Linked DNA regions of Mus musculus. The protein of the gene in region 4 purifies or fractionates together with the protein of the main gene of each other region. This does not show direct contact. Links are inferred from orthologs where the notes say so. Each region holds a gene or a part of one and is shown on either strand. Other genes may lie near its edges. The genes, in order: Fam117b, Dcaf7, Fam53c, Dyrk1b, Lzts2 and Ptges3.

What was found.
Region 1: the proteins of Dyrk1b (region 4) and Fam117b purify together in Homo sapiens (affinity purification with mass spectrometry; 3 studies listed by BioGRID and IntAct, counting the BioPlex papers as one, with this or other methods). This does not show direct contact. The link is inferred for Mus musculus from reciprocal best matches to the Homo sapiens genes DYRK1B and FAM117B.
Region 2: the proteins of Dyrk1b (region 4) and Dcaf7 purify together in Homo sapiens (affinity purification with mass spectrometry; 10 studies listed by BioGRID and IntAct, counting the BioPlex papers as one, with this or other methods). This does not show direct contact. The link is inferred for Mus musculus from reciprocal best matches to the Homo sapiens genes DYRK1B and DCAF7.
Region 3: the proteins of Dyrk1b (region 4) and Fam53c purify together in Homo sapiens (affinity purification with mass spectrometry; 3 studies listed by BioGRID and IntAct, counting the BioPlex papers as one, with this or other methods). This does not show direct contact. The link is inferred for Mus musculus from reciprocal best matches to the Homo sapiens genes DYRK1B and FAM53C.
Region 5: the proteins of Dyrk1b (region 4) and Lzts2 purify together in Homo sapiens (affinity purification with mass spectrometry; 3 studies listed by BioGRID and IntAct, counting the BioPlex papers as one, with this or other methods). This does not show direct contact. The link is inferred for Mus musculus from reciprocal best matches to the Homo sapiens genes DYRK1B and LZTS2.
Region 6: the proteins of Dyrk1b (region 4) and Ptges3 purify together in Homo sapiens (affinity purification with mass spectrometry; 3 studies listed by BioGRID and IntAct, with this or other methods). This does not show direct contact. The link is inferred for Mus musculus from reciprocal best matches to the Homo sapiens genes DYRK1B and PTGES3.

Annotation. Positions count from the first base shown.
Region 1 is NC_000067.6:59,946,611-59,951,322, reverse strand, and holds part of Fam117b (protein FAM117B), read right to left. Parts: intron 2,271-4,712; coding exon 2,119-2,270; intron 1-2,118.
Region 2 is NC_000077.6:106,042,719-106,047,430, reverse strand, and holds part of Dcaf7 (DDB1- and CUL4-associated factor 7), read right to left. Parts: intron 741-4,712; coding exon 582-740; intron 1-581. UniProt on the Homo sapiens protein: Involved in craniofacial development. Acts upstream of the EDN1 pathway and is required for formation of the upper jaw equivalent, the palatoquadrate. The activity required for EDN1 pathway function differs between the first and second arches.
Region 3 is NC_000084.6:34,768,587-34,772,265, reverse strand, and holds part of Fam53c (protein FAM53C), read right to left. Parts: coding exon 3,314-3,679; intron 1,669-3,313; coding exon 1,408-1,668; 3' UTR 1-1,407.
Region 4 is NC_000073.6:28,178,302-28,183,681, reverse strand, and holds the start of Dyrk1b (dual specificity tyrosine-phosphorylation-regulated kinase 1B), read right to left. Parts: upstream 3,367-5,380; 5' UTR 3,335-3,366; coding exon 3,256-3,334; intron 2,174-3,255; coding exon 2,010-2,173; intron 1,322-2,009; coding exon 1,202-1,321; intron 1,104-1,201; coding exon 915-1,103; intron 619-914; coding exon 471-618; intron 1-470. Other genes in the region: Fbl (rRNA 2'-O-methyltransferase fibrillarin), read right to left, coding at 4,527-4,551, 4,639-4,784, 5,365-5,380.
Region 5 is NC_000085.6:45,023,158-45,027,604, reverse strand, and holds the end of Lzts2 (leucine zipper putative tumor suppressor 2), read right to left. Parts: intron 4,064-4,447; coding exon 3,401-4,063; intron 2,887-3,400; coding exon 2,626-2,886; intron 1,804-2,625; coding exon 1,120-1,803; 3' UTR 501-1,119; downstream 1-500. UniProt on the Homo sapiens protein: Negative regulator of katanin-mediated microtubule severing and release from the centrosome. Required for central spindle formation and the completion of cytokinesis.
Region 6 is NC_000076.6:128,068,639-128,073,350, reverse strand, and holds part of Ptges3 (prostaglandin E synthase 3), read right to left. Parts: intron 4,680-4,712; coding exon 4,566-4,679; intron 4,136-4,565; coding exon 4,066-4,135; intron 3,218-4,065; coding exon 3,119-3,217; intron 1,284-3,118; coding exon 1,194-1,283; intron 1-1,193. UniProt on the Homo sapiens protein: Cytosolic prostaglandin synthase that catalyzes the oxidoreduction of prostaglandin endoperoxide H2 (PGH2) to prostaglandin E2 (PGE2).

The DNA.
Region 1 (4,712 bases), on a different chromosome or scaffold from region 4:
ATCTTGCAGCTACTATATAGATCACACAGGCAAGTATAATTCTGGTATAATGATTTATATGACAGATAAAGGGGCGGAGGCATTTTCAACACATATTCCAAGTGGTGGGGGTCATGGGATGTGAACAGGCAGAATGGTGCTGGCATGTAACTTCTGGGATAGTGAAGAGAATGCAGGCTCAGAGGTGGTGCCACTGTTCTGGGAGACATCTTGGGTGACATTCAATCAAGGAACATGATTAATAGAACATGGCTTCCCATCATTGGGAGGAGAGGCCCTGGGTCTTGCAAAGATTATATACCCCCCAATACAGGGGAATGCCAGGCCAGGAAGCGGGAGTGGGTGGGTTGGGGAGCAGGGCGAGGGGAGGGTATAAGGGACTTTCAGGATAGCATTTGAATTGTAAATGAAGAAAATATCTAATAAAAAAATTGTTTAAAAAAAAATACATGGCTTCCATTAAGATAAAAAGAAAACAAAAACCAAAACCAAAAACTAAAATTAGAGAACCCACAGGAGACTGTAGACAGGGTTGGGCTCACAACTCCCATCACCCAGTTCTTCAGAGGTTTACTCTTATTTTATTCATCAGTTCAACAACGTTTCCAGAGTCATGGGGACACCAGAATCTTCCTATAACATACCCAGGCCTGGCTCCCTAGATGGAAAAGCCTTTTGGATGTGGTTATCACAATGGGCTTCAGCATTGCCTATTTACAAAAGCCATGGTCTGTTTGGATGCTCCAGCATCTTCAGGTCCAATGAGGTACTTTAAACACAGGCACAGCCATCTTGCAGGGGTACCAGGTGGCCCTCCTGAAGTGCCCAGGCCAGGCTTTATGTTTTCAGGCCTGTCTGTCTATTCTATCCTAACCAATAAGATGACATTTCTTGGAGTAAGTCCTCTATGTCGAATTTAGTTTGTAATTACAATTTTTCAATGCAAAAACTTAACTGCAAACAGTACTAGAAGTCTTTGCAGCCTTTCATTCTCCATTACCAAGAGTGCAATACTGTGCTGCTGATCCACGGCTTTGCAAATGCTCCTCAAAATCTCCTCAAGCACTTACTACTCAGGTATACGGTTGCTGTTCCTGAGAAAACAGCAACAGTGAGCCAGACACAGCTTCACCTTACTGGGATTCACTGTCTAGTAAGTATGAAAAACAATGGGTAAATGATTGTACAAATGTCTAATTAATTACAATGTGGTAATACTATAAAAAGAAACTCCAAACTAGCATGCAATCATGAACTGCTTGTACAATATTGGACTTCAATGTTTGTTTGTTTGTTTTCCCAAGACAGGGTTTCTCTGTGTAGCCCTGGCTTTCCTAGAGCTCACTCTGTAGACCAGGCTGGCCTCAGAGCTCTCCCTGCCTCTGCCTCCCAAGTGCTAAGATTAAAAGCACATGTCACCACCTCTAGCTGGACTTCAACTCTTTAACTATAAATTTATAAATTATTATATGTTAACATTCTAGCATCCTCTTAATTAGTCAATTTGATAGATGTAAAAGTATGAAACTTCACTTTCAGACTACCATTTGTTGAGATGTTTACATTTATGGAATCTATTAGCAATGGAGCCAGTAAATGGGCTTAGTAGTGTATGATAGCGCACTGCTGACCTATGTTTAATCCCTAGAATTCATGTAAAGTTGGAAAGTGAGAATTGACTTCACAAAGTTGTGCTCTAATTTCTATATGCACTCAAGCACTCTACAGTATAAGCATGCAGATATGTGAGCACACACACACACACAAAATCAACAATGTAATATAGCTCTCCCAAAATATAAAGGTTTTGGGGGCACAAAAATAAATGGTATGCAGAATAATCCTCTACTACAAATTTTTGAGTCTAAATTCCAGACATGAAAATATTGTGAGAATGTAATCTAACTTCTAAGGAATAAATAAGGGGAAGTATGTTCGCAATTATATATTTCTATGGGAGTTACTTTTGAGAACTTTTAGAAATTCATGCTCCCAGGCCAAACAAATCCAGACAAATATCTGGAAGGTAGGCCTGGAAACCTGTACTTCTCAAAAGCTTCGGAGGAAATTCTGGTGTGCACTCAATGCTTCAGAGAAGAACAAGTAAGAGAAACCTACCTGTGTGGCCTTGTCCCTCATGCAGGGTGCGGCTTGCCCACGAATGTCTCGGGGCCAGTGCCCAGCAAGGTATGGAGCTGCGAGGGTATCCAGGGAAGATGTGCGTCGGATAATGCTGGAGGAGCTTGAGGAAGGCGGGTGTGTTTTGTCACCTAGGTATAAAGCAAAAGTGTTCATGTAAAAAAATTTTAAGCTTTATAGAAGTTCTTCAACTTAAATATGCAAAAACAAACAAGTAAGAACAAGGCAATAAACAAAGCCCAGACCCAATCTAAAACACTGACCACAAAAATAGAAGAACAGGTATTGATAACACAACTCACAGTTGATTCCAAAGGGCTAAATACTATCATTTCATATGTAGTATATTTAAAATAAACTGGCCGGGCATGGTGGCGCACGCCTTTAATCCCAGCACTTAGGAGGCAGAGGCAGGCGGATTTCTGAGTTCGAGGCCAGCCTGGTCTACAGAGTGAGTGCCAGGACAGCCAGGGCTACACAGAGAAACCCTGTCTCAAAAAAACTAAATAAATAAATAAATAAATAAATAAAGCAAATACTGTTAGTTCAGAACCTTTAGGCTTCAGCCTTAGCAACTAGCTATGCATACTCTTAAGTCTGACTCTAAGAAGACAACTAATAAAGACCCTTAGAAAATACAGTTCCTGACTGAGAGAGGTCTGGTGTGGGAAGCCACATGTGCCGTTGCAGAGTGGCACTGACTACTGCTGGCCACCACGCATAAGTTTGGACAAACAACCAATGTGTACATATGCAGTAAAGTTTTTTGCAAAGACACTGCCTGGCCCGGGCATGATAATGAGGTTCTGTAAGGTACTGAGAGTATAACCAATCAGATGTGAGACATGCAAATGAGGTATGATAATGAGGCTCTGTGAGGTACTGAGAGAGTAACCAATCAGATGTGAGACATGCAAATGAGGTATGATAATGAGGCTCTGTGAGGTACTGAGAGAGAGAGTAGCCAATCAGATGAGGAACATGCAAATGAGGCATAGTGCATAACCAATCCGGGTGTAAGACACGCCTCTCCTAGGCCTATAAAAGCAGCACCAGTTCTGGGCTCAGAGTCTTTTCGCCTCTACAATCAAGCTCTCCCAATAAACGTGTGCAGAAGGATCCTGTTGCAGCATCGTTCTTCCTGGCCAGTTGAGCGCGCGCAAGAGTCTGGGCAAACAACACCCTAACAGTGGTATGGTTTTTTTTTTTTTCATGTGCTTACATCCACTCTAATTTGATAGCACTGTCTTTATTTTTTTAATTGGATATTTTATGTATTTACATTTCAAATGTTATCTTCTTTCCTGGTTCCCCCCGCCCCCCCATCACCTCCCTCCCCCTGCTTCTATGAGGGTGCTCCCCCACCCACCCAATCCCGACTCTCCGCCCTAGCATTCCCCCTACACTGGAGCATCAAGCCTTCAAAGGACCAAGGGCCTCCCCTCCCATTGATGCCCAATTAGGCCATCCTCCACTACATAGATGGCTGGACCCATGGGTCACTCCATGTATATACTCTTTAGTTGGTGTATTAGTCCCTGGGACCTCTGGGGGGGGGGGTGTCTGGTTGGTTGATATTGTTATTCTTCTTATGGGGTTGCAAGCCCCTTCAGCTCCTTCAGTTTTTTCTCCTCCATTGGTGACCCCATGCTCAGTCGAATGGTTGCTTGGCTGCGAACATCTGAGTATCTATCTCTGTATTTGTCTGGCTCAGGCAGAGCCTCTCAGGAGACAGCTATAACAGGCTCCTGTCAGCAAGCACTTCTTAGCATCCACAATAGTGTCTGGGTTTGGTGTCTATACATGGGATAGATCCCCAGGTGGGGAAGTATCTGGATGGCCTTTCCTTCAGTCTCTGCTCTACACTTTGTCCTTGTATTTCCTTCAGACAGGAACCATTCTGGGTTAAAAATTTGGAGATGAGTGGGTGGCCCCATCCCCCAACCTTGCCTAACCTCTGGATATGGTCTCTGTAGGTTCTCCCTCTCCTTTGTTGGGCATTTCAGCTAATCTCATCTCTGTTGGGTCCTGGGAGCATCTTGTTTTCCTGGCATCCGTGATTTGCTGGTAGCTTCCCCAGTTCCCAGTGAAATGTTTTAACAGCTAAAAGCACTTGTTGATAAGGCCTGATGACTTGAGTCCAATTCCCAGATCACAAAAAGATGAAGGATAGAACTGACTCTACAAAGTGGTCTTTGGATCTCTCCACATACACAAGCTGTGACATATGTGTCCTATACATAGCTATCATACAATGTATGTATAGTAGTAATAAGTAAAGTTTTTAAAGGGACCTCTGGGATTGGAAATTCAGCTCAATAGTAGCTAAAGCACAGACCTAGCATGCATGAGGCCCTGGCTTTGATCTGTTACAACCACAGAAATAAAAACAAAGCCCAGTACATACATTAGACATTAAATAATGCTTAAAAGAATTTGTGGGCTACAAGTGATGGCACACGCTTTTAATCCTATCACCTGGTGGGCTGAGGCAGAGGATCTGTGAGTTTAAGGCCAAACTAGTCTACAACACATCAACTTATAGGCCAGAAAAGACTATATAGTAAGGTCCA
Region 2 (4,712 bases), on a different chromosome or scaffold from region 4:
AGCAACATTGTACTTACATACATAAATAAATCTTTTTTTAAAATCCTATTTAATAAATCTAAGAACAGGAGAAAATATTTTTATGATAAAGGGTAATAAAACCCAAAGGGACTCCTGAGTTTGGACTTCTTTTACAACTTCCCCCTTCCCCAGCTTAGCTCTCTCAGCTTTCACCAACGCCTCGCTCTAGAGCTCTTAGCAGCCTGTCTGCCTTCGGGGCAGGCCCTGGATTCCCGAGCACAAGGGAGGCTGCTGAGCTCAGCTGAGAAGAGAAGCTCCACACAGAGTGCATCAAGATCAACACCCTGCCATCTCCTTACTCAGGAGTGTCTTGTCTAGTAATGGAGTAGGGGGTCCCAAGTGCTCTCTGCCTCACAGAAGGCTTGTCCCCATCAGCAGCAAGACCTGGGCTACATTTCCTAGAAAACCCGTTGAGCTGAAACAAGGTCAGTCCACAGGCACGTCCTGTGCTTCTTCCATGTGGCAGTGATACTAGCTGTCTGCTCTTCAGGACTGCACACTGCTGTCAGCTGTCCCCAAGAAAGCATGCCTGGCCACCCGCAGGTAAAGCCTCTGCTTACCCTCCACACACGGAGATAGTCACCACTTGTTGCCAGGAGGTCTGGATAGACGCCCTTTGTGTCAGGAATCCACATGAGCTTTGTGGTAGGGTACGGGTGGTCAAAGGTGTTTCGGCAAATAAACTCTGAACTCTCCTCATCTAAACCAACAAGCTGAACCTGCAAAGCAGCACAATTGAACCACACGAGAGTTTGTTTTTCTTGAGCAGGATCAAACACATCAGATTTCTGGTCAGTCTTGACACGACTACACTGAGTGCGCAGTCAAGTTATTACGGTGAAGGACCCCTAGACTTCTGATCCCAGCACTAGATAAAAACTCAAGAACCACAGGGTTCAGTACAGTCTACGAAGATAGAAAAAGATAGAAGATCTGAATACAAGTTTTCTGACTCTAAGTGCTGAATGACCCTCCTCCTCCTCCCTCTCCCGTTTTCTGAGACCATCTGATCATTCCGCCTTCCCTCCCAAACACTGGGGTTGCAGGAAAGTACGATCACAGCCTACTTAATGAAGGTGCTGGGAATTGAACAAGGGCTTCATGTACGCTAGGCTAGTGTTCTACCAACCGAGCTACATTCCCAGCCCCCATTTTAGCTTCTTGAGTCAGGCTGGCCTTGAACTCACAGATATTCTATTTCTGCCTCCCGAGTGCTTGGATTAAAGGTTTGTGCCACCATACGCAGCTCCATTCTGAGTTTTAGGAAGTAAAGGACACATATTTGGCATTATGGTGTTGTGAAGAGTATCTTCTGAGACAAGGCTTCATGGAGTCTGTGCTACCCTCAAGCTCACTGTGCACACAGGCCTTGTCTCCACCTTCTGAGGGTTTGCTCTATTTATTGGGTCCAGTGGTTTTCCCATTGAGTTTCAGTTCTCTGTAAACCTTTGCTCTTCTGCGCTACTGTCTTTCTGTGTGAATTTTAAGAGCATCTCTTTAAAATGTACAAAATGCCGTTGAGGTTCTGACTCCAACTGTCTTGAATCTATGATTCAGTTTGGGAATTTAGTTATTTAGGTCACCTTCAGCTTGTTAAAGCAATGCTTTAAAGTTTGGTGTGTAGAGAGATCTTCAACTCTTTCACCAACTTTATTTCTATGTAATTGTATGCTACTTCAAATATATTTTTTAGGGTTTTAGTTGTATTTTTCCCTACACTACCTACCATGATTTTTAAACCCCATTTTCAACTGTTTATTGATATTATGTCGAAATAGTTTATTTTAATTATATATTATTAAAATTAGTAATAATATATTAATTTTAGATCTTTAACTTTGGTACAATTATACATTTGTAAGGAATTTCCTGTGTCTATCTACACACTTAGTCATCAGCAGACTTTCTAGCAGTTAGGCAGAGATGTCCAAGGTCTGTAAATGTGTAGGGAGATAAGGAGTATGGGTGCAAAGGAGACAGAACCCCAAGCTCTGAAACTCCAGAGCAATAAAAGCAAAGCAACAGGTAATACACTGGTATGCTGCTGCTGCTCTTCCTCCTCCTCCTCCTCCCCTTCTCCTTTCCTCTTCTTCCTCCTCCTTTTGGTTTTTTTTTGAGACAGGGTCTCACTGGGTAGTTTTGGCTGTCCTGGAACTTGCTCTGTAGACAAGGTTGGCCCCAAACTCATAGAAATCCACCTGCCTCTGCCTCCTGAGTGCTGCGATTAAAGGCGTGCACCACCACTACCCTAGAAGAGATGTATTCTTAACACTATCACTGATAATAGTTCTGAGGCAATTCTCCAGTCCTCAAATTCAATCTGAACAGGCGAGGAAGTGAGTGACCTTAGGATCTTAGAAGTCTTCCTTTTAGGTGTAAGTAGAAGGACACAGGAAGTAGATAACTTCAAAGTGAAACTGGAAAAAGGGGTTACACTCACTTCTAAAAGTTGCCTGTCATCCATCGTAAGACATGTTTCCCAAACCCCAAATATCAGATCCTGTGAAACATCTCCTACTTAAGGTTCTCTAGACCCAATGGCCAACGCTGACTGCCACCCAATGCCAGCTAACCTTATCTTCCATTCCCTCTTCTAATCACCATTTTCCATATTCTCCCTTTCCTTATACATCTTTCCAAGTTTGTAAATTATGTCTACACCCTTTTCATCAACCTCAATCCTGATTACTATTAATACACCAGTGACATCAGGCTTCCAGGACTCTACCATTCACTAGCTGCAGGGCCTCAGCTGCATCACTGTTGTTAATCCTGGTTCCCAACCTGTAGAGTTGAGATGTTCCTGATACCTACTCTTAATAACTGTGTAAACTGCCTTTCCCAATGTACAAGTGTCAACATTCTATCTTACTTCTTCCACAAAGCATTGGCAGTTTTCCTGACTCTGTCTTTTAGTAATTACCAGTATGATGCATTTGACAGTTAATCCCATAGTGCCTCATGAGACACTGACATTACTGGTTGGTGTAGTTTCCCTTAGTGTCTTAATGACAGGGCTTGTGTTTTTCTTTTCATACAGTTGGCTATTGCTTCCAAATTCAGCTTTCTTGTACCTATTTCTAATATTCCCTGTGTTTGGATACTGCTGTCATTATTTCTGGTACCCAAGTCCCAAAAGCAGGATTTCTGTATTAGAAAGATGTATGTGGTAATGGTATTTGAACTCAAAGCCACACAAGTGTCTGACTTTGAGCTATATCCCGAGTCTTAAAGTTTAAAGAAATATTTCAGTTTATTCTAGCATAGTGTATATCTAGACAACTGGAAAGATGGAGGATCCAAATAGAGATGCCACTGGAGAATAATCTACCCATCCAGGACTCCAATTTCTAAGCACTCCATGACTACAGCTTGACCCCAAGCTCTTCTCAGATCAGCTGGTTGCAATGGTGGCTCTATATTACAATGAACTTTAAGAACATCCCAAGGCCCAAGCAATATTCAGAGCAGTGAAATGAGAATCTATGGTAATGAAACAAACAAGCATCATATCTGCGAGAGCCCCCAGGGGTCCTGGCACAGTCAGGGTTGAGGGCACTGCACTAGCTTTGCCACATTAGGCTGGATGACCGAGCCAACCAAATCCATTTCTGGAAACATGGGGACTTAATCCAACTTAGTCCCAGGTATTTGTTTAAAAGGGAAAACGGAAAAGGCCAGATCCACTGCTGCATAGAGATTCAGGAAAAGCTGCAACAGAGTGAAGAAGACAGAAGAAGACAACTTGTACTTGTAGGGTGTGGGCACAGCTTTCCACTGCCTGATTTGTCCCGAGGCCTGAGACTCCTCTTTTTCAGATCTCCACCTCGTCTGAATGAACCCATCTCTTACCTGAAACCATTTTTTTTTTCTTCATCTTATGTGTATGGCTGTTTTATCTGCATGTATGTCTGTGTACCACTTGCATGCCTGGTGCTGGAGAAGGCCAGAAAAGAATATCAGAGCCCCGGAGTTACAGATATTTCCCTGCTGCTGTGTGGGAGCTTGGGACTGAACCTGGGTCCCCTGCAAGAGCAGCCAGCAATGCATGGACACTCCTGAATGCATGGAGTGTTTCTCTTCTTCTTTCTTTCTCCTCCTCCTCCTCCTCCTCCTTCCCCCTTCTTTCCTCCTTCCTTCCTCCTCCTCCCCCCTCCTTTCCTCCTCCTCCCCCCCCCCTCCTCCTCCTCCTCCTTCTTGCACTTTGGAGTTTAAGAGAACTGATAATCAAACCACTGTAAGAACTTTCTAGTGCCATACTTTAAAGGAAACAGTTTTTCCAGAGCACCTGAAGTTGTTCCATCCTACCCTCTATGGTCTGTCTATATTCCCAGTCATGCCAAAGGATGAGGAGGGCATGCTCCAGGGCAAACACTGCATCACAGAGTGCCAGGCGAGTCAAGGGCTTAGGAAGAGCGCCAGCTTTCCACATGACAGGAGTAGCTGTGACCTGAGCCTCACCATCCCCACCGTCCCCAGCCATTGTATCTTCTTCAACATCTCAAGGTTCTCTTACTCAGGCGATTCAAGAAACCTACTTTCGAGATCCAAACAATGTCTTGTAGGAACTTGTGTTTAGCCCCTGGTCAAGTAGCTCTGACATGCTCCGAGCTTATGTTCGGATAACCAGATATTGACACTGGATGATAAAGAGACTGCTAGGTGGTTGGTGAGAGTTCACAGAGCAGAGT
Region 3 (3,679 bases), on a different chromosome or scaffold from region 4:
CTTCTCATAGCCTTTGCTTTACACACCCCAAGTCAATCCCTCGGTGAGCCCCAGCCTCTCTGTGGTCTCTCAGGGCCAATTAGAAGCAAATAAACATTTCCTGGCAAGTGTGGAAGACAAGCAAACTATTAAATGCTGAACACCCTACCTCTTTTTCAAGCAGATCAGAGAGAGACCGGGCCTAGATATTGCAAGAGTAAGTTTCCCTACAGCCAGCTTCCAAAAGGCAGTGCTGAGGGTGGCCTCAAGGACTTCCAGGGAATAATGTCACTGCTCCTGGTCTGCCTCAACACATTCTTGGAGAGCAACCCTGTCTCTGACTTGTAAGATCAGAAAAGGAAAGGTCCCCTTGGGGAAGAGGAGAGCGCCCAAGCTCCTTAGCTCTGCCTCAGTTGTCCATCTGCTTGCAGCTTCTCAGCAAGCGAGAGAAGCGGGCTGCAGACAGCTTAGACAATGAAAACAACAAGTGTGGGGACTGCCTCAAGCCTCAATACTAGATTCATCTAGTGGGAGAGGGCGGGACTTCAGAAAAGCCCATTAGCTGAAATCATAGTACTCAAAAGATTCTGCTAGACCCCAAAACAGAACCATTTACAGAGCAGTGATGCGATGAACTTAAAAGCCTGGCTCCAGAGCTATTAAGACCGAAAAAAAAAACAAAAACAAAAACAAAAACTCTCTCCTCTTGACACCTTGAACAAGCCCAATGTTATATTAAGGAAACAAACAAACAAAAAAACCCACAAGATCCTGGGGGTATCCTGACGCTCTGCTGTTAAAGGAGCAACTGCCTTCCTTCCCTAAGGCTATACAAACGCACGCACCTTTCCTCAAGTACACACCCGTGCACACACGCACACTCACACAAGTACACACCCATGCACACACACACACACACTCACACAAGTACACACCCATGCGCGCACGCACACACACTCACACAAGTACACACCCATGCACGCACACACACTCACACAAGTACACACCCGTGCACGCACGCACACTCACACAATTTCTCCGAGGAGGCTGACTGAACCCCCCCACCCTGGCCAAATTCTAAGACACAAGTGCCCTTTGAAGCAAAGGGGCTAGTGAAATTCCCCGAGCTGGGGTCGCAGACCCCTTCCTTCCCTGCCCATTGCTCTTAGTGGCAGGGATACTCACACTCAGGGCCGCCATGGGGAGGGTCTGCTCTGGGGCTGTCCCTCCCGTCACCAGCTCCATTTATCTTGTCCCCGCCAGTCTCTTGGCATGGTCGAGTTTGCTGGAGCAGGAAGACTTGGGCTGCCCTGAGTAGGAGCCCTCCATTCACCCCCTTTCCCAGGCTGGGCCCTCAGCCTTGGGGCCCTCACACGTGTTAGTAACCATTACACAGTCTGCATGGGCCCAGGAAGCAGCCTCTCACTTTTAGTTTTCTTCAATCAGATTCAGGTCCAGGTCCCCAAAGTCCTGCTGGCACAATGTCCGCTTGCTCAGTGCCTGCCGTTCCCACCGCACAGACCCCTCTTCCTCCTCTTCGCTTTCACTCAGCACCTGGGATGAACCCTCGACGGGACTGCAGGAAGCAGAGAGAGGTGGGGGACTACAGGCCATGAACCATGGTGGAGAGACGTTGCTGCCTTCTTCTCGGGCTGTTTCTTGGAGACAGAGACCTCCTGAGTATGGTTTCTGTCAACAAAATTAAAAAAAATATATAGTAATTTCCCAAAGTCACTTAAATAAAACAAACAAACAAATAAAACCCCCTTAGATTTTTTTTATTTTCTGTGTTGAGTGTTTTGCCTACATGTGTGTACTCCGTGTGCTTGCAGAGGGCCTGAGAGGACTTCGAAGCCTCTGGAAATGGACTGACAGACAGTTAGCCACTATGTAGGTGCTGAAAATCAAATTCAGGTTCTCTGGAAGCGCAGCCTATGTTCTTACCACTGAGCCATCTCTCCTGGCCTTCCAAAATGTAAAGTGTTCATCTCAGTTACACTTGAAATTTTATGCTTTAGAGTAAGGTTCCAAATCATAAAATCTGGAACATTTAGTGTACATTCTCTGGGGAAGGCACCCCAGTTCCCACCTTTTGGTGTGTTTTGGTTTTTAAGACAGGGTTTCTCTATAGTCTCAGCTGTCCTGGGACTTGCTCTGTACGGCAGTCTGGTCTCAAACTTAGGGAGATCTGCCTGTCTCCTGCCTCCGTGAGCAGGATTAAAGGCCTGCACCACCTCCTGGCCCAGTTTCCAGCACCTATAAGGAAGAGGCAGGCAGATCTCTGCCAGTTCAAGAGCAGCCTGTCACATAGTGCATTTAGGCCAGCTAGGACTATAACTATGAGACCCTGGCTCGAAAAACCAACCCAAAGCAACAATGAACAGAAGCTCTCAGAGCGAGTATTGTTAACTCAGTGGCAAAGTATTTACATAGCCTAAGAACACAGGTTCACTCACACACAAGAGCCACAAAAAAGAACAGAGCTGAGTTATGATGGGGCATGGTGATATCTGAAACCTCATAGCTCAAAAGGCTGAAGCCAGCCTGGGCTAAATAGAAAGACCTTATCAAGAAAAGAAGAAAGGAAGGAAGGAAGGAAGGAAGGAAGGAAGGAAGGAAGGAAGGAGAAAAACCAACCAAAAGAAAGAAAGAAAAGAAAAAAAGAAAGAAGAAAAACCAACCAACCAACCAAACAAACAAACAAACAAACCCAAAACAACAACAACAAAACCCTCTCAATTATAAGGTCCAGTGGAGGCCACACCACCATCTGCTTATCTGGCCACTCACTGCCAATGCCTAAGCAGACTCAAGCACATAGATTTTGCCATGAATGCTTTCTGAATAGCTGGATGACTAAGAGAACAACTTCTCAGAGCCCTATGACCAAGCGATCTGGAAGGAAAACTATGGCAAAAGGGGACAAGTCACCCACAGTGGCTGCTCTCAGCTTAGGGCTTAGAAAGCCACTGCTCATCTTGCTTAAGCTCCCAAAGGCTGACAGGGGGCACTGAAGCCAGGGAACAAAACCAGCCCTGAGACTGCAGAGGAGACACTGAGGACAGGAATCCTGTGGTCTAGAGTTCTCAGAGAAGAGGAAAAGTGCCTCTGGCAGGACAATTAGGATCCCTGTCTGAAGGCTTAAGGCCTCAGTCTAGTTTCTTTAGAATACTAAGGACTAACTTGACAGGGCAGAAGACATTAAAGGTTAAAATTCAATACTGCCAGGGTGGTTTTCTTGTATAAACTCTAGACAGAAGAGTTCCCAGGGAGGCCTTGCCAGAAGGTAGGGAATTAGGAGATGTTTAAACAGCTTCTGGTCTGCCAGTCCCACCTGATTCATCTTGTCAAAGTCCAAGGAAGGCCGAAGGCGCCTGCAGTCTTCCTCATGACGCCGCTTGACACCAGTTTTGCGGGCATCCAGATCACAAGGCTGTGAGCGGCTTCGGGGAAGGTTTCGGAGACCTCGGGGTCTCCAGGGCAGCTCTGGGGAAGACGCGGGAGAGCTCCGGGCAGAGGGCAGGAAGCGGCTCGCCTGTGGGCCCAGGCTGGGTGACAGGGAGAAGCGGCGCTGGGGTGGGCAGGGCGACAGGGACTCTGCATCACTCTCCCAGGAGCCACTCTGAGGGGAGGTGGCGCAGGGCTGAGCGGAATCTTGGGCCAGGGCCAGGCTGAAGAAAGGAGGGCTGTAGGGTCTGTG
Region 4 (5,380 bases):
AAAGCACTGGGCTCGATCCCCAGAATAGCAAAGCAAAACCTCCAAAAGTATCACCATCACCAAAACCCGAACTACCAAAAGAGCCTGCTCTCGTCTTTGCTGTGTCTACCCATGTGCCAAGGGATACTGGCTGTCCTCTACAGAGTCCCTTTCCAGAGGAACTGAAGACTGGGACATATCTCAAGAGCCAGAGCTCTAGAGGCCACTGCTTTTCACATCCTCAGCTGTTGAGTCTGATGTGAGAGCACTGAGTGCCTCAGTCTCTCCAACATGTACTCAGAGCTGCCCCGTCCCTCACCAGCTGCGGGGAGGTAATTCAAAGCAAGGGTTTGCAACACAATCTGGCCCTCAGTGAGCACAAGAGAGAAATCCTGAGCACAGCAGGAGAATCAAAGGATGAGAAGCCCAAAGACCCTCGTGGAGGTCTCTCTCCCACAGGCACCCTGCACCTGCCCAAGCCCAGGCCTCACCTATGTAGTACTTCATCTCTGTATCATGCTGGTTCATCAGCTCCAACAGCCGTAGCTCAATCTGTGCCTGGTTCAGGAAGGCCTTTTTGTTCTTGATGATCTTGATGGCCACCAGCTCCTGAGTCTGGTGATCATAGGCTTTCACCACCTGTCGAGACAAGGAGAGTTACCTGGGAAGGTGGGAGGCCCACCAGCCACACCTTTCTAACAACTCACAGCCCAGTGCTCACATCCCTTATACTGGATACAAAATAACAGTTTTCTTACAAGAAGCCTTGTGATTTATACTCATACAGAACTAAGAGGGAAACTAAGTGGCTTGACTGGCTGGTCCAGGACAGAACTTGCAGCAAGTGAACCAGTGAACCACTCGGGGAGGAGGGAATGTTGGGAATGTTAGTGGTTGTCTGCATCCAGATACTGGATGAGTGGGGAGTCCCACACCTGGCCAAAGGAGCCTTTGCCAATAAGAGAGTCAATCTCATAGCGCTCTAGCCAGCGCTCGCCACTGCGCACAATGTAGTCGTGGTTGTCGTCATCATAACCGTGGTTCAGGACCTTCTTCTCCTTTTTGGTGCTCGAGTCCTGGGGTGGCGCCTGTTGGGCCCGCCGCTTCTTCTTCGCATAGTATACCTGCTCAGGCAGCCAGGAAACCGGACCCTTAAGTGACCCGGGCAAGAAGCCAGGACCCTTTGCAACACCCAACCAGGGAAGTCCATTCCCCGCTTTACCTCATTGATGTGCTTGTAGGTCTTGATGAGGTCCACCGAGAGCTTGCGCAGCGGGGCTGAGGCCGCATCCCGGAAGGCCAGGGGCAGTCTCCGGGGCAGGAGCCGCACATCAGGTAGTACCTGTGGTAGAGCGGAGCAGATGCTGAGCACAAGCCTTCACCTCAACTTCCAGGGAGAGAATGGGAAAGCTGACGACTCACTGACCATGCCTACATTTCTCTAGCTCCGATCCCACCTGTAGAGCACAAGCACACTGTGTGGGCTCCCCATTCATCTGTTCATTATGTGAAATGAGTGATTTACCTCTGGCCTTCCATTCTGCCCCAGGTCAGCTCTTTTGCTCCATATCTGGGTGTTTACCCCTGAATCTTTGCACCTGAGACCACCATTATGGGGAACCATGCCAATGAATTCCCTGTATCCATGTCCTCACTCTCAAGTGAGTGTTTCTGCCCAGTTACAAAGCTCCTGGACTGGGTTAGTCTCCCTGGTCTCAGCTTATTCTCATTTCCACCCCCCTCGACATCTCTCTCATGCCCCTTACTCCAGACCTCGTTCTTGTTGTGAACCTTCAGACCTGTGTTCCTGTCTGCTCTGTGCCAGTGACAGTTCTGACCCAAGACACACATTACACTTCAAAACCATGCTGTGAGAGGGCAGGCCACGGAGAAGCTCAAGGATTCCGTCCTCAGCAGGAATGAGGGTGGACTGTGAGGCCTCCAAAGTCCCCAGAGATCCTCCAACAATCATGCTCTTGTCTGGAGACCCTTCAATCCTCAGGCAGGTGAGAAGCCAGCTGAATGCCTACCTGTGTGTGTTCCTGGGGCCCCGGAAAGCCAGAGAAAGGACCATGGCCTGGTGGGACGGCCATGGTGGGCTCAGAGGGCCGCAGGGGCGTGAGGCCTGGAGCGGGAGCCCGGCCGGGGGGCGCCTTCTCGCATCCTGCACCTCGGCTGCCACCGCCGCTGAGACCTGAGAGCAGGTAGGAAGTGGGAAGACAACATGGAACAAGAAGGCATGTAGGTCAGGGTCAGTCAGAAGAGGTGGGTATGAGTTAGGGGCAGGACCAGGGGGAGACAGGGGACAGGGCAGAGCACCAGCACCAGGTAGCCATGTACAAACAGAAAGGGTAGCAAGTGGGTTAGCACAGCGTGTCTCTCAACAAATGAGGAGCCAAAAAAAATGAATGAAGCATCACATCCAGAGATGTAAAAGGGAGCCATCAGAGCCAGACAGGGGTGGGAGAGGGTGGGTACAAGGCCAGGGCAGGAGGGATAGAAAGAGGCCAGGAATTAGGAGAGCAAAAGAAGGCAGAAACCGTGTAGAGTCTGGGCAGTAGAACTCAGTCCTTCAAAATTTTACTGGTGGCCAGCCTGAGTCCCTCAGATAAGGCCCCGCCCTCACACCGTCTTCCCTCAACACCAAGGGCCCAATTTCAAGCCCAGTCTACCCACTAGTTTCTTTCTATTCTAAAGAACATAGCAGTCCTTATGGACCTCCCAGCAAACCCAAGGTTATCTGAGAACTCCTTTACATGCAAGCTATAGATGTTTCAACCACCTCGGCACTTTCCCCTGGGACCGACTCCATACTCCAAGACCGCTCCCTGCTCCCTATATGAGGTCTCTGGAACCAGAGATCCTTCTTTTAAGCAGTCTATATTTATCCCACTAGGATTCCCCCATTACTCCAAGACCCCTACTCCTCAGGAAAACAAGGGAGAGGTGTCATTTTTCAACATCTAAGAGTCACGGTCTTTTTCTTCTTTACCCTGAGGTCCTTGCTAGCTCCTCTATTTCTACGCTGGGTCATTCCACAATTGAGCCTATTCCTAGAAGGGCCTGACAGCCAAATCCCTAAATATCGCACAAGACTTCACTCACTAAAAGTGTCCTTCGGAACAAAATCCCCTTCTTAGGAGCCTCCCCCTTGTCAGATCCCCTTCTATGCTATGTCTTGCCACTCCAGGTCCCCTTTATTGGGGCTTCACAGATAAACAACCTCTTCCCGAGCCCTCCCACACTAGGACCAGCTCTTACAGCTCCCACCCCTACCCGGGTCAGGGATGGCGCTGGGCCCACGGGGGGCTGGAGCGCGATGGGGACCCCAGTGCGGTGGGCGAGCGGCCAGCATGGCGGCGGTGGTGGTGGCGGCGGCGATGAGGAGGTGGCCGCCTGTCCCCGGCCCGGCTAGCCTAGCCAGCCCCGCGGCGGTGAGGGCAAGCGGGACAGGCGGCCCGGTGGGTGACAACAGCAGCCGCCGCCACTGCCACCGAGGGGGAGGGGCGGGGAAAGGAGGGGACGAGGGTCAGACCAGGGCACGCGGGGGAAGGGGACAGCAGGTGGACGGGGGAGGGGCGGGTTAACCCTCGCCCTACGGCCCAGCCCCGCCCCGCGTGGCCACCCGCCCCCAGGGACCCTGGCGTCCCGCCCCCCACCCGGCAGGCCCGCCCCGGCCAGTGGAGTCCCGGCGGGCGGGGCCCAAGAGAGCCCGGCAGGCCGCACCTCCCATGGCAACAACCGCGCCATTGGTTGTTGCTGCCAAGAGCTTAACCAATTAGCACTCAGGGCAGCTGTTGCTAGGCGACAGCGAAGCGGCCAGCGCAGCCGAGCCCAAACAAAGGGCGGGAGTGGGGCCTGGCTGCCCCCTCCCCGACTCCCTCTCAGGACGGCTCCCTCGGGCTCAGCCTCTTCCAGGAATCCAGCTATGAAGAGCCGGACTCCGCTGCAACGGCCCAAAGCCCCCTCCTTTCCCTTGCTAAATCTCGCGGGGACGGGCAGGGCGGTTCCCGGCCTGCCCCCCACCCAAGCGTGCCGCCCCGCCCGTCGCAGCACCCTTACCTGAGGGCGTGGGTAAGGGGATTCAAACTGCTCGGGGAGCCCGAGCTCAGACCTGCCCACTGGCTGAGGGTGTCCGGTGGACGCGGCGAGCCAGGGCCCCGATTACCCAGTAATGCAACCAGCAAAATGGCGACCACAACAAACCGGCCCCCCTGCCCCGGCTCCGCCCCCACATCATTCACGTGACCTAGCGGAGCACAGTGCGCCTGCGCCTTAAGGGTGCTGAGCCGCGCACGTGCGGAGCAGCCACCAATGGAGCATGCACCATGTGACCGGATGAAACTTTCCAGGCACCACCCCCCGAAGCACACAAAGTTGATCAAGGGCGCATGCGTCTCGAGGCCACTTAGCAATAGGCACCAGACAGGGGAGACAGATGAGTCTTTTAATAGAAAAACAAAACAACTCCCCCGCCCCCAAAAAATCACAAGCCACACGTGCAACAGTAACAACACACATCTCTTCAATCCAGACAGCTCTGAGTTTCAGTTCTTCACCTTGGGAGGTGGCCTGTGAGGAAATCAGAGGGGGTCGAGTTGTAACCACTTTTGGCTTCTCAGGGCCACAGGTAAGGGAGAGGTCTGTTGTGACACTCACCTGTACACACCGACAACCACGGCGTGGTCTCGCTCATAAGGCTCTAGCGTCAGCTGCTCCTGCGGCTTCATGTTCTCCTGCTGCATCTTCTTCACTTCAGATGCAAACACAGCCTCTGCTGACGCAGTGGAGTCAATGCAGTTGGCCTAGAAAGGAGTCAGGACTAAGTTACAGATTTGGAGACCCAGGCTTTCCCAATTTTCTAACTTCATTAAAGAAGTTTTAATTTGGCTCACATTGGAAACAGGTTATTTCATTTATCTAAGGCAGTGTTTAAGGTCAGGAATTTTCTTCCATATCCTGGAAGCCCAGCTGGCAAAAACAGAACAAATGTAGCAATAGCAGCCTGGTCTACAGAGTTGAGTTCCAGGACAGCCAGGGCTATACAGAGAAAACTCTGTCTTGAAAAAACAAAAACAAAACAAAACAAAAAAAAAACCCAAAAACAAGTGTAGCAATAGGTTGGCCAGTTTTGAACATGGTGAGGATGCGCGAGAGTTTTCCCTATTTAAAATTAAAATGTTTTGAAAAATGTACCTGCTGCAGTTAATATTGTACCCCACAATCTGCTCCAAATGCTTAGCAGCTATCAGTCTTTATTTCAGCCATAAGGAGGACTAATAAACAAGTCAGATAGGCTAAGGCGCCATAACCTGCTCAGCCACAGAGACAAAGCACCCACACCACACTCTAGGGTTACTCAACCTTACATGGCAAGACCCATACCTTAATGGAAATCACA
Region 5 (4,447 bases), on a different chromosome or scaffold from region 4:
TCCTCCTGCTGCCTCTGGGTTCTGTGTACCTCTATCCTATCCATTTGACTACTGAGAGCACCACCACACTGGTGGCTCTGATCCACCCCGGCTGTCAAAAGGGCTCTGGCCTTTCAGGACAAGCTGGATGTCCAAGAACACCGTGTGCTAGTGGGCAACCCATGTCATGTGCATTCCCTAATCCTGGACTGCTTCCCAGTAAGGAGACAGACAGACTCAAGTCTGGAGCCTGTGACTAGTGTGAGGTTTTTCACGATGGACCTGGCTCACCATAATCTGAGGGTCGTAAACTGAGAGTCCTCAAGTGGGGGGAGGGTGTCACTGCAATCATCCCCCAGCCTCAAGCAGGGTTCAGTGTAGAGGACAGGATGGGAAGGCTTTTCTAGTTCCTCAAAACTCATGGTGTGGTCCAGTAGGACCCAGGATTCTACTAGATTAGTCCTAAGAATTCCATCATAGGTAGGCGAGCAGCCAGCAAGCAGAGATGGATGTCAAACAAATTCCCCTGCAGTTTCTTTATCCATTGCACTTTTTTTTTTTAAAACAAAACTTTTTTTTTTTTTTAAATTTTTTTCCCCTTTGGGTTTGTACAAGAAATTTACAGTGTGAAAAATATACAAGTGGAAATGAGGCCGTAACCCTGGAACTAGGGAGGACGGCTTGGTCACAAACACAAATAAACAAGACATTGCTGGGTTCTTCCTTTGGTCTGACTTCAGCCCCCTCAGCCCAGAAGAGGCTTGCAGAGCTCAACATGGGGATCAGCCCCATGCCCGGCCCTGCCCCTCCACGTGGACATGTTGAGGGCAGGCACATCTGGAGCAGCTGGTTGCCCTCGGGCTCTCTCTGGCTTCAGGCAGGTAGATGCGGAGACAGGGAAGCAGCCTCTTTCCCTTCCCAGCTGGAGTGGGCTGGCAGTGGCGACAGTGAGGGAGTGAAATGGCAGAGTAGGCAGGAGCCTCTGGGTGACGGTGACACAGAGGGTTGATTCTGCTGCTTCTCCAAGTTACGGAGCCACCCGAATGCTCGGCCGAGGCCCTTTGGCTCTGAGACCTGGAGCGCGTGCTCAGTGGATCCCCGGGCAGGTGGGCCTCTGTGGCTCAGACCCCTTGCAGAGCCCTAGATCTCAGTGGCAGTGATCTCCTCCAGACAGATGCAAGGGGCCGACTCCGCCAGGCCCAAATCCGCAAGCTCGCGGGCCTCCAGCTCCAGGCTCAGTTGCTGCAGTTCCTGCTCCAGCTGCCGGTTACGCCGGTACATCTGGATATAGTTGTGCTGCAGCTGCTTCTGGTAGCGGATCACCTGTTCCTTCTCTGCCTGCCAGGCCAGCCGCTCCCCCTCAAAGCTGTCCCGTTGCTCGTCCCCTCGCCGCTGCTCCCGCTGCAGTTCTTGGCGCAGCCGTTCCACCTGAGCCCGCAGGCTACCCCCTGCCCCAGCCGCTGCCCGCTGCACCTTGGCCTCATCACTCTCTGCCAGGAGGAACGGGTCGGTGGTGGCAGGGGGTACAGGGGGATCCCGGAGTCCCGATGCTTCGGCATCCAAATGCCCGGCCTTCTCCCGGAGCCGCTCAGCCTCCTGGCGGTACCGCTGAAGCTCCTGCGAGCAGGCCTCCAGCTCCTGCTCCCGAGCTCGGGCTGCCTCCTGCAGGCCCCTGGCACGGCCCTCACTGACCCGCAAGGTGGCCCGGGCCTCACGGAGGGCCACCCGCAGCGCCACCAGCTCACTGCCCTTCTGGACCAGCTCTGCCTGAGATTCCTTCAGTTGCTGCTTCAGCAGGGAGATCTCACCTGATTTCTGACACACCTGTGGGTGCAAAGTATTGAGGAAAGATGGTGAGGCCTCTAGGTACTGGGCACTGGGCGGTATGCTGGGTATTCCAGAAAATGCAGTTTCGGGAGTTTACGCATGGACGCACAGCAGGAGGCGAGCCTAGTGATGCCTCCATGGTTATACTTCTAGTAAGAGGCGAAAGGAGAACAAAGACCCAGATCTTTTCCTTTCAATGCCAGGATTCTTATGCCAGGATTCTTTATAAAGACTGCCCAGGCCTGGGGATGGTGGCACAGACTGCAGGAGTGGAGTGCGGCAGTCCAGGGCAATTCTCACATGTCAGGTGAAAGGCAAGCATCCTGGATTAAGAGAGGACATCAAAAACAAACTGCCTGGTCAGGTGGTGGTGGCACACGCCTTTAATCCCAGCACTTGGGAGGCAGAGGCAGGCAGATTTCTAAGTTTGGGGGCAGCCTGGTCTATAGAGTGAGTTCCAGGACAGCCAGGGCTGTCAGAGAAACCCTGTCTTGAAAAAAAAAAAAAAAAAAAAAAAACCAAAACAAACAAAAACAAAAGCTGCCTGGGTTTGTATCTCAGCCCAGCCACCGCTACTTTAATTCAAGGCTCTAGCTCAATTTTCCTCATTCATGAAACGGAGGTATTAACAGTACCCATCTAACAGAGAAGGAAACGCCACTAGCTGTGAGGTCACTAGATCACAACCGTGAGATCCAACAGAGGCACAAGGAATGCTCCAACCCTGACAAGGAAGGACAGACCCGGAACGGTAGCTACTGTGGGCCAGCTGTGCAGAGCGTGACCCCCTTCATCCTGCCCGGCGTCCATCATGCATACCTCCCATTTGGTCTCCTCCAGCCGTGGCCCGAGTTCCCGCTGCTCCCGTTCAAAAGTGGCACAGCGGCGCTCCAGCTGTTCCCGCTCCTGTAGCAGCTGGGCAAAGTCATCCTGCAACTGGCGCTTCTCTTGCTGCAGCTGGAACACCTGCAGCTGCAGCAGCTGTTGGGCCCGCTGGACGCGCTGCGTGGCCTGCTGCGCCTGGGCTGCACAGTCCTCCCCTCGCTCCCGTGGCCAGCGCCGCTGCCGTGCCCCGAATGCCTAGGGAAAGACTTCAGGCTAGAAATGGTCCGGTCCAGTCCCTCCGCCGCCGCCGCCGCCGCCGCCGCCGCCGCCGCCGCCCCCCTCCCCCCCCGATCATGAGCTCTACCATCTCCTGCTTGGGTAGCTCCCTGCCTGGCCTGAATCCAGTGAATTATGACAATTATAAAAGCAGGCACTTATATGGCCTTTCCTAGGTATCAGGTGTTAGTCTAAGGACTTTATCCTTTTTGTCTTATTTAATCTTCATCACCCCCTTAGGGAGTCACAGTTATCTCCATTTACACAGGGAGACTGCGGCCCGGTGAGATTGATTAACTTGCTCAAACCTAACACCCTACAAAACAGTGCTGGGTCCAATTCCTATATACCCTGCCTCCTCACCGCTTTGAAGGTTAAGCTAACCAACCTTGGGGGGGAGGGGTGTCACACCAGGAGTCTTGACCCTCTCCCTCCCCAACAGCAACGCTCTGGGTATTCAGCCCCACGGCCCCAGGACTGCCATTGGCCGCACCTGACACACTGTGGCCTCACTCTCATCCATACTGTCCCGCAGCTGCTGCAGCTCTGCCTCGCGGTCTCTGAGCTTCCCTTCCAGGACACAGTGTAGCAAGGCCTCATCCGAAGGGGGTGGAGGTGGTGGAGGGGGTGGAGAGCGGTCTCCACCAGAACTGCTGCCAGGGGAGGCCCGGGCACCACTGCCCAAGAGCCCCCCAGCTACACGACCCCCCAAGGAGCCCGTGCTTTTGCTGGAGGAGGACCGGCCACTGTCTGAATGGGAGGGCCCAGTAGGGACCCCTCGGGCTGGACCAGGCAGTGCCCCTCGGCCAGGGCCGTGGGAGGGCAGGTGCCCACCTGGGGAGTTGGTGGTTGGCTCGGCACCTCCAGTGCTGTAGGTGGGCAAGCTGGATAAAGAATTTCGGCCAGAGTCTGACAGCGTTCCTGAAGGGCAGCCACTGGCCCAACCACTCAGTGCCAAGGGTTTGTCAGCAGCAGAGGAGGAAGAGGAAGAGGAGGAGGAAGAGGCTGGCCCCCCAAACAGCTGTGTCAGGCTGCCCTGGCTCCCAGATAGCCCAGCAGCTCGAGGACCAAGGAAGCCGGGTAGGGATGGCGCCCCCCGAGGTTTGGGTAGCACTGGCTTGAAGGCTGTTGGCCGGATCAGGATCTTCTCCATATTCTGAAATGAGGCACCAGTTGACACTGTGAGGGTGATCTGCCCAGTCCCTTGCCCTTTTTAAAATGTTATTTCTGTTGCTTTTCTGAGACAGGGTTTTACTTTACTGGCCCGAGCTCACTCACTTTGTATCCCCAAGCTAGGCTTGATCACAAGCAAGGTTTCTCTGCCTTTTAAGATTACAGGGGTGGGTGGGGGGTGGGTGGGGGGTGGCTCAGCGGTTAAGAGCACTGACTGTTCTTCTGAAGGTCCTGAGTTCAAATCCCAGCAACCACATGGTGGCTCACAACCACCCGTAATGAGATCTGGTGCCCTCTTCTGGTGTGTTCAAAGACAGCTACAGTGTACTTATGTATAATAATAAATAAATCTTTAAAAACAAAACAA
Region 6 (4,712 bases), on a different chromosome or scaffold from region 4:
TTGGGGGTGAGAGTGGGAAAAAGAATAGAGAAAGGAGGGTGGCACAGTGGCCTGCACCTTTGATCCACACAGCATATGGAAGGCAAAGGCAGGCACATCTCAGTGAATTTGGGGCCAGCCTGGAGTACGTAGAAGTTCCAGACAGCCAGAGAAGAGAGATGCTGTCTCCTGCAAAAAGCCAAGAGTTGGACTAGAGAGATGGCTCAGCAGTTAATAGCACTGACTGCTCTTCCAAAGAAAGGTCCTAAGTTCAAATCCCAGCAACTACATGGTGGCTCACAACCATCTGCACATCTACAGTGTACCCATATACATAAAATAAAGAAAAAAAGCCAAGAGTTCCATCACCTCTAAGAGGGATGGTCTCTTGCTGGGCAGTGGTGACTTGTGCCTTTTATCCCAGCACTCGGGAGGCAGGATGATTTCTGAGTTCGAGGCCAGCCTGGTCTACAGAGTGAGTTCCAGGATAGCCAGGGCTACACAGAGAAACCCCGTCTCAAAAAATCCAGCACACCATGATGGTCCTGTTTTTTTTTTTTTAAATTCTTTTTAGGGGAGTTGAAGAGATGGCTCAGTGGTTAGGGTTACCAGTTGATCAACAGTAACTGTCCCCTCCCCATCCATCCCCTGAGACAGGGTTTCTCTGTGTAGCCCTGGCTGTCCTGAACTCAAGAGATCCACCTGGTCTACAGAATGAGCTCCAGGACAGCCAGAGCAACACAGAGAAACCCTGTCTCAAAGGAACGCTTCACCCTAAGACCATCTCTTCAGATGTTTGTCCATCATATGTAAGCCTGGTGCCTGAACAGTCCAGACATGATAAAGGCTACCAGATCCCCTAGAAATATAGTTATAAGCAGTTGTGACATGTCCTGACTACATGGGTTTCTGTCCAGAAAACCAAAAAGGGTGACCAAGGAGTGGTTGAGAGCACCTGTTACTCTTTCAGAAGGCTGGGGTTTGATTTCTAACAACCACATAGTGGCTCGGAACCCTCTGTAACTCCATTACCAGGGACCCTGACACCACCTTCAGACTCTGCCTTGGAACCATGTCCCAAGTGGTGCACAGACACATATATGCAGGCAAAAACTATCCATACACATTAAAATGGAAAAAGAAAAAAGGGATTAAAAGGATTATATAGAATATATTATGGGAACAGGGTAGAAAATGCAATTAAAAAAACTTACCTCAGAGAAACGGTCAAAATTCGACATGTCTTCATCTGAGTCATCCTCCCAGTCTTTCCAATTATTGAAGTCCACACTGAGCCAATTAAGCTAGAGATCAACAATATCACCTCCATGTTATTCATAACCAGTAATGAGACATAAAATCAGCTCAAAAAGAAAAATCCACAAGAAACCAAGAGGGGTAATAAGTCAAGGAATCATTTTTCTTCCCCCCGAGACAGGGTTTCTCTGTGTAGCCCTGGCTGTCCTGGAACTCACTTTGTAGACCAGGCTGGCCTGGAACTCAGAAATCTGCCTGCCTCTGCCTCCCTAGTGCTGGGATTAAAGGCCTGCGCCACCACAGACTGGCTCCAGGAATCATTTTTGACTGTCCAATTTAACCTTTCATACAAAAACATTTATTGGGAAGTATTGCATGATACCTGGAATTAATCCAATTTACAAAGGCTAACATTCAACTATTAATCCGTCTTTAGAGATGGATTATAGGTCATGCTGTTAGGTTGTTTCCAACCTACAGCTTTGTGCATATTAGGTATTCTGTCAACTGAGATACCCCAGTGCCACTGTTTACAGTCTACGCAGTACCTCACTATGAAGGTACTTGGCTGGCCTCAAATTCAAAGAAATATCCTGTTTCTAACATACTCTCCCCTTGTACCATCTTGTGATCAGAACTCAGGCCTTCAGGTTTGGCAGTTAATCACCTTCACCCTGCCAGCCTATCCTCAGTTCCTTGAATCTTGAATGTCACTAAACTTTGCTCCCCTACAGTAACCAAGTAACTTATCAGTATGCTGGCTAATTTGTCACCTCAACACTGGTTACAGTCCTCTGAGAGGAGGGAACCCAACTGAGAAAAATGCCATCGTAAGATCCAGATGTAAGGCATTTACTTAATTAGTGATTGAAGGGCCGAGCTCACTTGGGGTGGGGGTCATCCCTGTGCTGGCAGTCCTGGGTTCTATAAGAAACAGAGGCTGGACAAGCCATGAGAAGCAAGCAGCACCCTCCATGGACTAGCAGCTCCTGCCTCCAAGTTCTTGCTCTGCTATGATGGACTAAGAATATGAAGTATAAGCAATATAAATAAACTCTTTCCTCCCCAAATTGTTTCAAATGGTGTTTCGTCACATCAATAGTAACTAAGAAACCCAGGCAAGCTAGTCTTGATGTCACAACCTTTCTGCCTTAGCCTCAAGTGTGCCACCACACCTGATGCAAAAGTTTGTCTCTCCAATGCAAAAGATCCTAATCAACTACGGTCTGATTTTATGACATTTGATGAGAATGCCAAGTATAGAACACCAGCTTTTTTACAATTATAAAAATGTATTGCCGGGAGTGGTGGCACACGCCTTTAATCCCAGCACTCAGGAGGCAGAGGCAGGTGGATTTCTGAGTTTACAAAGTGAGTTCCAGGACAGCCAGGGCTATACAGTGAAACCCTGTCTAGAAAAGCCAAAAAAAAAAAAGTATTTTTAGGCTTAAAAAGATTCTGCCTACAGGCCAGAAGAGGGCACTAGATCTCATTATAGATGGTTGTGAGCCACCATGTGGTTGCTGAGAATTGAACACAGGACCTTCCAAAGAGCAGACAGTGAGTGCTCTTAACCTCTTAGCCAGCTCTTTGCCCTATTTTTATTTTATTTTTTTAAAGTACAGAATAGAGCTTATTCAGGACATAGGGAGGGGAGTTAAGAGAATAGCAGAAGCAGAGAAAAGCAGAGGAGAAAGTGGAGAAGTAGAGGCCAACCATGACCACTTGGAGAGGGGAGGGGGCAAGACGGAATGGGGAGAAAGGGAGAGCAAAGGGGCAAGAGGCAAGCGAAAGAAGCAGGAGTAAAAGACACCTATTTTTAATTCTTAAAACATTAAAACAATCAAACAGAAACCAAAACAAAACAAAAAACCCAACCTACCTTTGCCCTTTCCTTTGTTAACCTAGGCCATGACTGGCCGGATTCTCCTTTTCGCAAACAACATAAAATCGATCTGTCTGTTCTTTTATGCTTGGAATCCTACAACAAAAGCATCATATCACTCATCTCTCTGCTATGATAAAAACAGCCCTCCCACCATACTGCTAAGGGATAATATTTAGGACCTTGAAACATGCTAGGAAAGTTCTCTGTAACAGAGCTGGACCTTCATAATTTGGTTGTTACTGTGCAGCCCAGTCTTGAACCCAAGATCCTCCACAATTAGCCCCCTGAGTGTTTGAGGGATCCTCTACACAAAGTTTTGTCTCTTTCCTCTGAGGTGGTTTTCCTACATAGGCAAAGCTTTTCTGAGTTGCTACTACTTCCTAAACTTTCAGCTTATAGCCACAAGCCTGATTCATTTTTTAAAATTTCTTTCCAAACAAGCTTTTTGGCTACTCAAAATTTCTGATAGAAGATAGAAAGATTTCAAAGGTACTGTCATTTTGCCAGTGACAGAATAAAAAATATGTAGGAAGAGAGGTTGCTGAGTGTCTAAACTGTTAGGCTAAGCAGATTTAAGATTTAATGTTTATTATTGTGGTAGTTTAAATGAAAGTGGCCTCACAGGCTCATAGGGACTGGCATTGTTGAGAAGGGTGGCACTATTGGGGGGAGTGTGCCTCTTCAGGTGGGCTTTGATGTCTCTTCCTGCCTCTCCAGGTGTAGAACCCTTAGTTACTTCTCTGGCACAATTATCTGCCTACATGCCATCATGCTTCCCTCTGTGACAACAATGGACTGAATCCTTGAGCTGGAAACCAGCCCGTTTCCCTTTATAAAAACTGCCATGTCATGGTTTCCTCACAGCAACAAACCCTAAGATAACAGCAGCACGCCCAGCTTCTCATCATTTAAATCAGAAAAAAAGCATCAATGGTACTTACATTTGGATCGATACAATGAAAAAGATCAATTTCATTTAAATGCTTAAAATTATCGCTTCCTCCAAGACAACTAAAAAAAAAAAAAAAAGTGAGACAGAGAAAGAGATTAGAAAGCCAGTTACATACAGTAAGCTTTGGGTAACACAGATGTAGAAAGGTGGCTGGCTAGTTCATGTCAATTCTACACAATCCTAGAGACAGGAGCCTCAAAGGAGAAAATGCTTCTATAAGATCAGACTGTAAGAAGGCCTATACTATAGTACATTTCTTAGTGATTGATAGGAAAGGGCCCAGCCCATTGTGGGTGCCCCCACCCCAGGATTCTGTAAGAAAGGCTGAGCAAGCCAGTAAGCAGCACCCCACCATGTCCTCTGTCCTGCTTCCACTTCCTTTGATGATTAACAGTGGATCCATAAGCCCAATAATCCATTTCCACCCAACATCATGGTGTTTCATCACAGTAATAATAGACACCTTAAATAAGACAAAAGGCAAATTACCTGAAAGTAAGTTTGGATTTTTCAAAGTTTACATTAACATCTTTACTGTCTTCAACACAAAATTCAATGAATACATAGTCCCTTCGATCGTACCACTTTGCAGAAGCAGGCTGCCTATAAGTAGAGAAAATGATAAATTCAAAAAGG